2 linked regions of the Saccharomyces cerevisiae S288C genome follow. The gene in region 1 interacts genetically with each later gene. Each region holds a gene or a part of one and is shown on either strand. Other genes may lie near its edges.

Region 1 (3,940 bases):
TACAGGCAAACGGTTTTATTGAACAAATTAATAGAAGATGAAACTCAGGCTACCACCAATAACACAGTTGAGAAAGATAATAATACGCTGGAAAGGTTGGAATTGGCTCAAGAACTAACGATGTTGCAATTACAAAGGAAAAACAAATTGAGTTCCTTGGTGAAGAAATTTGAAGACAATGCCAAGATTCATAAATATAGACGGATTATCAGGGAAGGTACGGAAATGAATATTGAAGAAGTAGATAGTTCGCTGGATGTAATACTACAGACATTGATAGCCAACAATAATAAAAATAAGGGCGCAGAACAGATCATCACAATCTCAAACGCGAATAGTCATGCATAAAATATACATAAATAGAGGAACTTTACATGTATCCATATACTGAAAAATAGATAAAACAATGAGATAATATTTATTAACTTCTACGTAAATAAAAAGTTACATAAGGATCAACCTTTTTTTCTTTATTTTCTTTTTTTTTTTTATTTTTCATTTTCAATTACAAACTAAGACATAACAGTAAGCAGTGCTTTTTCTGTGCATGTTTTCCTCTTTTTATAATGATATTGGCTAAAATAAAATTAACAAAAACAGATGAGTGATATAGATTATATTCATTACAGTTCGTTTTCCTAACTCACATAATAATAGCTTCCTTTGGAACATTATCGGAGATAGACTTATGAGGTAAGACTTTACCACCGTTGATGTAGATTTCGTCCTTAACTTCAACGTCGTCACCCAAGACAGTGACACCTTCCAAACGACACCATTGACCAACGGTAGAGTTCCAGCCTACGATGGTAGATTTGACCAAGGAGTGGTTCTTGATGGTGGAGTTGCACAAAACAACAGATCTGGTGATTCTAACACCATCACCGATGGTGACATTAGGACCGATAACCACGTCTGGGCCAATCTTAGCAGTGGAGGAAATCTTAGCGGTTGGGTCGATCAAGGCATTACCAACAATGTTGGCACCTGTAGCCAATTTTTTTGGTTGTCTCTTGGCCAAAGAGTTCAAGTAAAGAACGGTACCAGACAAGAAGTCCTTTGGTTGACCAACATCCATCCAGAAACCTTCCAAATCGAAGGAATATAGTTGTTTTTCTTCGACCAAGATTGGGAAAGTTTCCTTTTCAATTGAAGTTGGCTTCATTTCAATCAAGTCAATGACTTCTGGGTTTAAAATGTACAAACCGGCGTTAATTCTGTTACCAACAAATTCCTTTGGCTTTTCAACAAATCTGTCAATCAAGTTTGGAGTAGCTATATCATGGACAATGACACCGTATTTAGAAGGTTCGTCGACCTTGGTAGCAACAATGGTACCTTTACCACCGTGAGCTTTGTGGAAGTCAGCCAATTCCTTGAATGGATATTCGCAAATGACGTCGGAGTTTAGGACGAAAAATGGAGAGTTGTCCTTCTTCAAAACATCTTCAGCCAATTTCAATGGACCTGCAGTACCTAATGGTTCAGTTTCTACAGAGAAAGTGATGTTAACACCATATTCCTTTTCGTACTTCTTCAAAGTTTCCACCATGACTTCTGGTCTGTAATTAACAGCAAGAACGATGTCAGTAACACCAGCGTTGGCTAAAGCCTCGATTTGGTGTAAAATCATTGGTCTATTACCGAATTCAACCAGTGGCTTTGGAACGGTCAAAGTTAAAGGTCTCAATCTGGTACCGTAACCACCGACTAAAATTAAACCTTTCATTTTTCAATTATATATGTTTTATTTGTTGAAGTTGTAGCTTGTCTTGTGCTGATAATATTTTGTTTGTATAGTCAACAAAATATTTGGACAGAAGAAAAGAGTTAGCGAATGTAAAGTAGTTTGCACACTTGATGAACGTTATCAAAGTCAAAGAGGTGAGAACAAGATAGACAAAGAAAAAAAAAATACAGTTTTGGAGAAAAGAAAACAAGACTATGTGAAACTTCTAACAATGACGTGAAAAGTCTACTATATATATGTTTACAAGAGCGCCACGAGGCAAGGAAAAAAAGAAAACAAAGCGAGAAACCACCAGCTTACTTTACTACCGGTCAGCTGTGGTTCTGTGTCTGTTCGTCTGTTTGTTTGTTTGTTTGTTTATTGCTGCGCTGTTCATGCTGAAAAACGACAAAAACAAAGAAAAAAAAGTTTTTCAGAGATTGAGATAAAAATAAACGTGGTGGCTCCCGAGGCATTTCTAGCTGGCCAGCAAGTACACGGTGGCCGTTTCTTTTGGCGTTTTTTTTTTCTGTTTTCGCGTTCTTCATGCTGTGCGTTGCTGGTGAGGTGGCGTGGACGGTTTGGTTTAGGCAATGATAGAAAAAGCTATAGTCAGAGTTGCAGGAAAGGACGAAAGTAGTCCATTTGGTGCCGTTATCCAAGGGTCTTGCTCTTAGTCTTGCTTTTCACCCAGCACGCGGTAAGAAGGATCGGGTGCAGCATGAAGAATGCTGACTGTACGCGTTTCGATTTGAAGCTTTAGGATGTTCTGTGGGTTGGGTTGGCTCGATCGACAGTGCGTATAGTGACCTTTGAACTGTACCGGGTGGCACGTCGTGCACAGAATCAGAAGTAGTTATAAAAGATTTGTAATTGCGTATATGCAACCAAGTTTAGGCTTTCTCCGTGCCGTTTTTTAAGGTGAAATGTACTCCTCTTGAAAATGTAAAAAAATGGAGCCTCGCAGAGCAGCTTGCCAAGCAGGTTGATACAAGGTGAGCCGCCGAAACATAACGATAAACGTGGTATAGTTTTCGATTGCCTTTAGTTTGGGTGGTCTCAGTGCTGGCACCTGACGAACTATTCGTAGGCAGGAGAACTTGCATCATGTGGTGTTCTTCCGAGATAGGGATGCCGTTTGGTCCTTACGAAAGTCAATGTTCTGGTACTACTAATTATTAACATAGTTCGTTGTATACACACTCTTTACTTTCATAAGAAATAAAAAGCACGTCTAAGAAATCTCTACGTCTTGGCTGCGGCAAGCAACTGCATAGAAAGCACATAGTAGTAACTCTAAAATGCGAGCTTCATACAGACAATTACATAAATGCAACATAGGCAGCATGGGATCCTGGGTTTCATATCGTCAAAGAAAGCCACCAACTGGCTTTACCATAAAAATACGAAAAGAAGTGCACACATTCTTCTTTTTGGCTCATCACAAGTTCTTCAATTTACTGTCATTACTTTTGTTTCCTTGTCAGATAATGTATGGGTGGTGTGTACACCAAGGTATTTTTTTTTTTACTTGGCAGATCTGCAATGCATAATAGAATGGTAAGGGAACGAGTAACAGACGGGAAGCGAATGCGAACACAAAGAATATAAATTTGAAATCTCCTGTTGCAAAGGATTCTCTAGACATTTACTATCTCAGTGACAATTCTCGAGTGAAACAAGAAATTGAGATGGTAGGTCAGCGCCCATACTTCTTGAATCAATTGGAGGAGCGGATAAAGCAAGTTTCCCCCCTCAATGTAAATCATCTTAAGCAAAATTTTAAAATCTAGGCACATATAAAGAGAAAATGGGAATGATTTTGCTGGATAGGCTACAGTGTTAGGAATGCAGAATTAGGAACTATAGATGATGCGATTAAAGATATTAAACGAGAAGTGACAGTGGTGGCTTCGACAACGGCAGTCGTGCTCGGTCGACAACGTGTATGTTTTTGCCGAGCAGAGCAGGGAAAGTCCTTCTTTCTGCGCGTGAATCAAAACACATTGGTATCGAATTTAACATATCTGGGTGAGGAATGGACAATCCTAATAAAGTACTGGAGGTTTGTCTGTATTTCCAAGTTCTTGCTTGTAGAAACTGCTTTCTTTTCTCTTTTCCTGCAGCGGTCGAACATATGTGATTATTGATTAGCCATTTGTTCCAAGTCATATAGTAGTATTACGTGTTCAGATGCGGTGTTAGCGTATC
Region 2 (3,950 bases), on another chromosome or scaffold:
TACAACAACAGAAGTTTGAAGCTGCTGCTTCATATTTAGCCAACGCTACCAAATTAATGCAAGAATCAAATCAAGATAGCCATTTATCTGGCACCCACAACAATAATAGTAGTAAAAACGGTAACAATAACCTCATGACGATGAAAGCCTCCATAAGCTCTCCCAATACTAGCGTAAATAGTATCCAATCTCCCCCTAGTGTCAACAGCGTCAATGGCTCCGGGCAAGGTGTATCTACCGGTATTAATGTCTCTGGCAATAACGGGAGAATTGAAGTAGGTATTGGAAATTCTGTGAACCCCTACAATGGCAGAATAAATTAATTGAATCATGCACGTTATCCAGCATGTTCACGAAGTGAGTAATAAAAAATTATTCGCCGAAGTAACATGTACACGTCTATGTTTGTGGACAAGTTACGCTATTTGCATTTAGAGATTTCTTCTCCAATGTAAATTATTTTTTCTTCGGGGGGTATACATTATTTATTTAAGTAGACATTATATTTCTTCATAAGGGTAGGAGAGAGCGAATACAAATGCCCAGTAAATTCCCCATAAGTAGTTCTTAAAATATAATACCATAAAAGTGGCCATAAATAGGAAGGGCCATGGATTATTGGGTAGAATTTTTATAAATGCCATATGCAAAATAAAATTAGAGAATGAAATACCGAATATTTCCCAAGGATAATACTTTTTTTCTTTCCATATGACTTTCTCGACGTTTTCTTCAAATGACTGAGTCATTGCTTCCCTAGAAAAGTATTTCTTGACTCTTAGCGGGCCATTCCTCTCAAAGTTCACAGAACCGTTCTGCAAGATCTTTCTGCTTTCATCAATTGCAGTAGCCCATTGAATAGGGACGGCAGGTTTTAGCCACCCAGTGGCAGAACTTTCATTTTCACCAGCAACGTAAGATTTGATAGTCTCCAAAGGACCTCCATTGTTTACTGCTAGTACAGGCTTACCTAATTTCATGGCTTCTAAAGGAACAATACCAAAGTGCTCATATGCTGGTGTATACAATAACATTTCGGTTCTTTCGAGCAGTAATTCTTTCAGAGATGATGAAATGGAAGTTAAAAATATAATTTTACTATTATTGGTTTTGAATGACTCTAAATCGGAGACGCGCTTTATTTCTTGGTAGTATATGGTTGTATGGGATAATTCGTATTCATCGGCCAGAGACTGTAGTTCCTTCAAGTACTCCACATTTTCTGCAACCCTCTCGTCATAACCACCGCAAATAACTAACTTAACGTTGTCATTGATTTGATCTTCAGATAACGCAAAAGCCTTTATAGCCAGCGCAACATCCTTTTTTTTCTCAAAACGATTTATACTTAGGTAAAATCTATCGCCTTCGTTAAACACTGTTTTGAAAAATTTCTTGTCAATATCTTCAATTTCGATTGTTGATAAATCCACGCATGGATAAATGACGTCTGGATCATTGGATAAATACTTGAACGTTTGGTGGAACGTATTCTTAGTGAAATTTGAATTTACCACAACAGTATCGGCAGCACTCACGGAAAACTGTTCTATTAAGTCAAATGGTAGTCTGTATATTTTCTTCAATAGCCCAGCTCTTTGAGCCAATAATTGGTCGGGGAAATGACAATAAAACATCAAAGTGGCAGAACTAAAGATATGCAGAAGCGGAATACATGTAGACAGTTGATCAATGATAATTAATTGGTACGCATTCACTTTTTTCTGTAGGATCAATTGAATAACTAAATAAAGCTGTCTAATTGTTGCGAAAACAATAAAAAAACGACCCAAAAAGTTTGTCGGTAAAAAATCACCATAAACTTCGACTTTTAATTGGCCGTTTTTAACTTCTTCGAAACAATGTGATTTATCACAGTGACTAGTATAGATGATTACACTATGTCCTTGTTGCTGTAGACCTAATGCTGCATCGACGACTAACCTTTCAGCGCCCCCAATACCTAGGTCTGGATGAATAAAAGCAATCGTTCTTTTATCCTTTTCAATCATTTTTGCTTGTCTAATCGACTCTTTTTTATCTGTCTTTACTACTGTATCTATTTCGTGACTTCTTAAATGGCGAACGTAATCTTTTGATGTTAAAATGAATACATCATTTATTTTGTTGTTCGCGCGTTCATCTAGCCAGGCACTTGTTTATAAAAAAAGAAGCTATACGCAAGGCTCTCGATCTATAAATTGTATCTGTGATTGTGACCCTTTCGTATATATGTTATAATATTTACAAGAATATACATTTATCATGATAATCTCTGGTGCTTTTTGATGATCTTTGGAAGAGCTTTAGCCCAAGATTTTGTTTTACTGTCAGTTAGCATAAATACGCGGCCGCCCTGTTTCATTCTAGCAGTTCTGCCCACTCGGTGTATCAGGTCTATTGACGTTTTGGGTACATCGTAGAGAACAACATTCCGTACACCTTTGAAATTGAGCCCTCTTGCCATGAGGTCGGTGGTTACGAGTACATGCAAAGACTTGTTACTGGGTGCGGTACCATTAGAATTTGTGTTTTTCAATTTGCCGATGACGATGTTGGAATCAGGAATTTCAAATTTCTTCAAGGAAGTGGGAGGTGAAGTACTCTGAGCAACCACCTCCGAAAGTGGTCGCGGTGGTGATAAAAAGGGCATAATTTTCTCGGATCTTTCTTCAAATGTATCTTCACCAGTTAAACCGATGGCATTATGACCGAATTTCTTATTCAATAGGTTAACAATTTCAGGAACATTCTTTTTTTCGTTAACAAAGATAATGCATCTTTTCTCGAACCCTGGTTCCGTGTCATCATTTGAAATAGCATATAAAGTTTGTGCCAATGCTTTGATCTTGGATCCCTTGAAAGGACTTAAGGCAGAATTTATAACTTTAAAGTCCAAAGCGAATGGTAACTTATGCAGTCTGGGTGTCATTATAGGAACCACTGTAGGAAATAGTCTTTGCATTGTTTTATTAAACTCTTGAGGAATAGTAGCGGAACAGAAAATAAGGTGATTAATGTTAGGAATTCTCTTTATTGCGGAGTGCGTTTCTTCAAGCCATGACCTATCTAGAAGTGTGTCAGCTTCATCTAGTACTACGAAACCCACTTTGGACAAGACTTTATCAGGTCTAGTTATCATTCTTATGGAGAACAGGTTCAGTAGTTTTCCCGGAGTAGTGACTAAAATATCTATTCTATTTTTAATGTTCTCTAATAAATCACGATATGATGTGGCCTTGTCCCACTTGAAAGAGTTTAAGCCTAACAAGGTTTTCGTCTTGGAAACAGTTTCGTATACTTGGTCAACCAATTCATGCGTAGGCACCAGTATGATGGACCGAATCAGAACGTTTTTTCTTAATGTTTCCCATAATTCGGGAGTTTCCAACTCCTGTCTTTTCAAATAGTCTATTAAAGGTATCAAGTAGGCCATGGTCTTACCTGAACCTGTCTCAGCGGCAATCGCATGTATTTGTAACTTTGGATCCATTAAATTTTTGGATATTCTCTTAATGGCCACTGTTTGAATGGGACTCGGTATTATATTTTCACTGGTTTTTTTCCTACTATCTTGTAGCTTCAGGGACTCTTTGGAAATGATTTCTTTCACAGCGTCTCTGACAGGTGGAAGTATAAGCAATTGGTCGAAATTCGATATTTTTTGAATGAGTTTATTCGTACTGTCCATATTCATCTCGACGTCTTTTTTCAATCCACCATACTCTCCAAAGTTGAATGCTTGGTCAGGGTCATTCTTTTTGTTACCTTTTTTGCCTTTGGCCTTCTGTTTTCGGTTTTTATTACTACTGCCTGTAGGCACTGAAGCTAATGGAGAGTTTCCTTTATGCTTTGTTCTTGGGCCTCCCGCATAAGAACGCACTCCTATCTTGAGAAGCACGGGGAAAGACCACTGTGGTGAAATTACTGGCTTGAAAAAAAGCGACATT

Evidence for each region. A genetic interaction does not mean that the proteins touch.
Region 2: of PSA1 (region 1) and ALG2, extra expression of one rescues a mutant of the other (dosage rescue), as found in Saccharomyces cerevisiae (one study listed by BioGRID).

What each region holds. Positions count from the first base shown.
Region 1 is NC_001136.10:355,031-358,970, forward strand, and holds PSA1 (mannose-1-phosphate guanylyltransferase), read right to left. Parts: upstream 1,730-3,940; coding exon 644-1,729; downstream 1-643. Other genes in the region: transcription factor MBP1, read left to right, coding at 1-348. UniProt on the Saccharomyces cerevisiae protein: Involved in cell wall synthesis where it is required for glycosylation. Involved in cell cycle progression through cell-size checkpoint.
Region 2 is NC_001139.9:379,260-383,209, forward strand, and holds ALG2 (GDP-Man:Man(1)GlcNAc(2)-PP-dolichol alpha-1,3-mannosyltransferase), read right to left. Parts: upstream 2,013-3,950; coding exon 501-2,012; downstream 1-500. Other genes in the region: deubiquitination module subunit SGF73, read left to right, coding at 1-323; MRH4 (ATP-dependent RNA helicase), read right to left, coding at 2,264-3,949. UniProt on the Saccharomyces cerevisiae protein: Mannosylates Man(2)GlcNAc(2)-dolichol diphosphate and Man(1)GlcNAc(2)-dolichol diphosphate to form Man(3)GlcNAc(2)-dolichol diphosphate.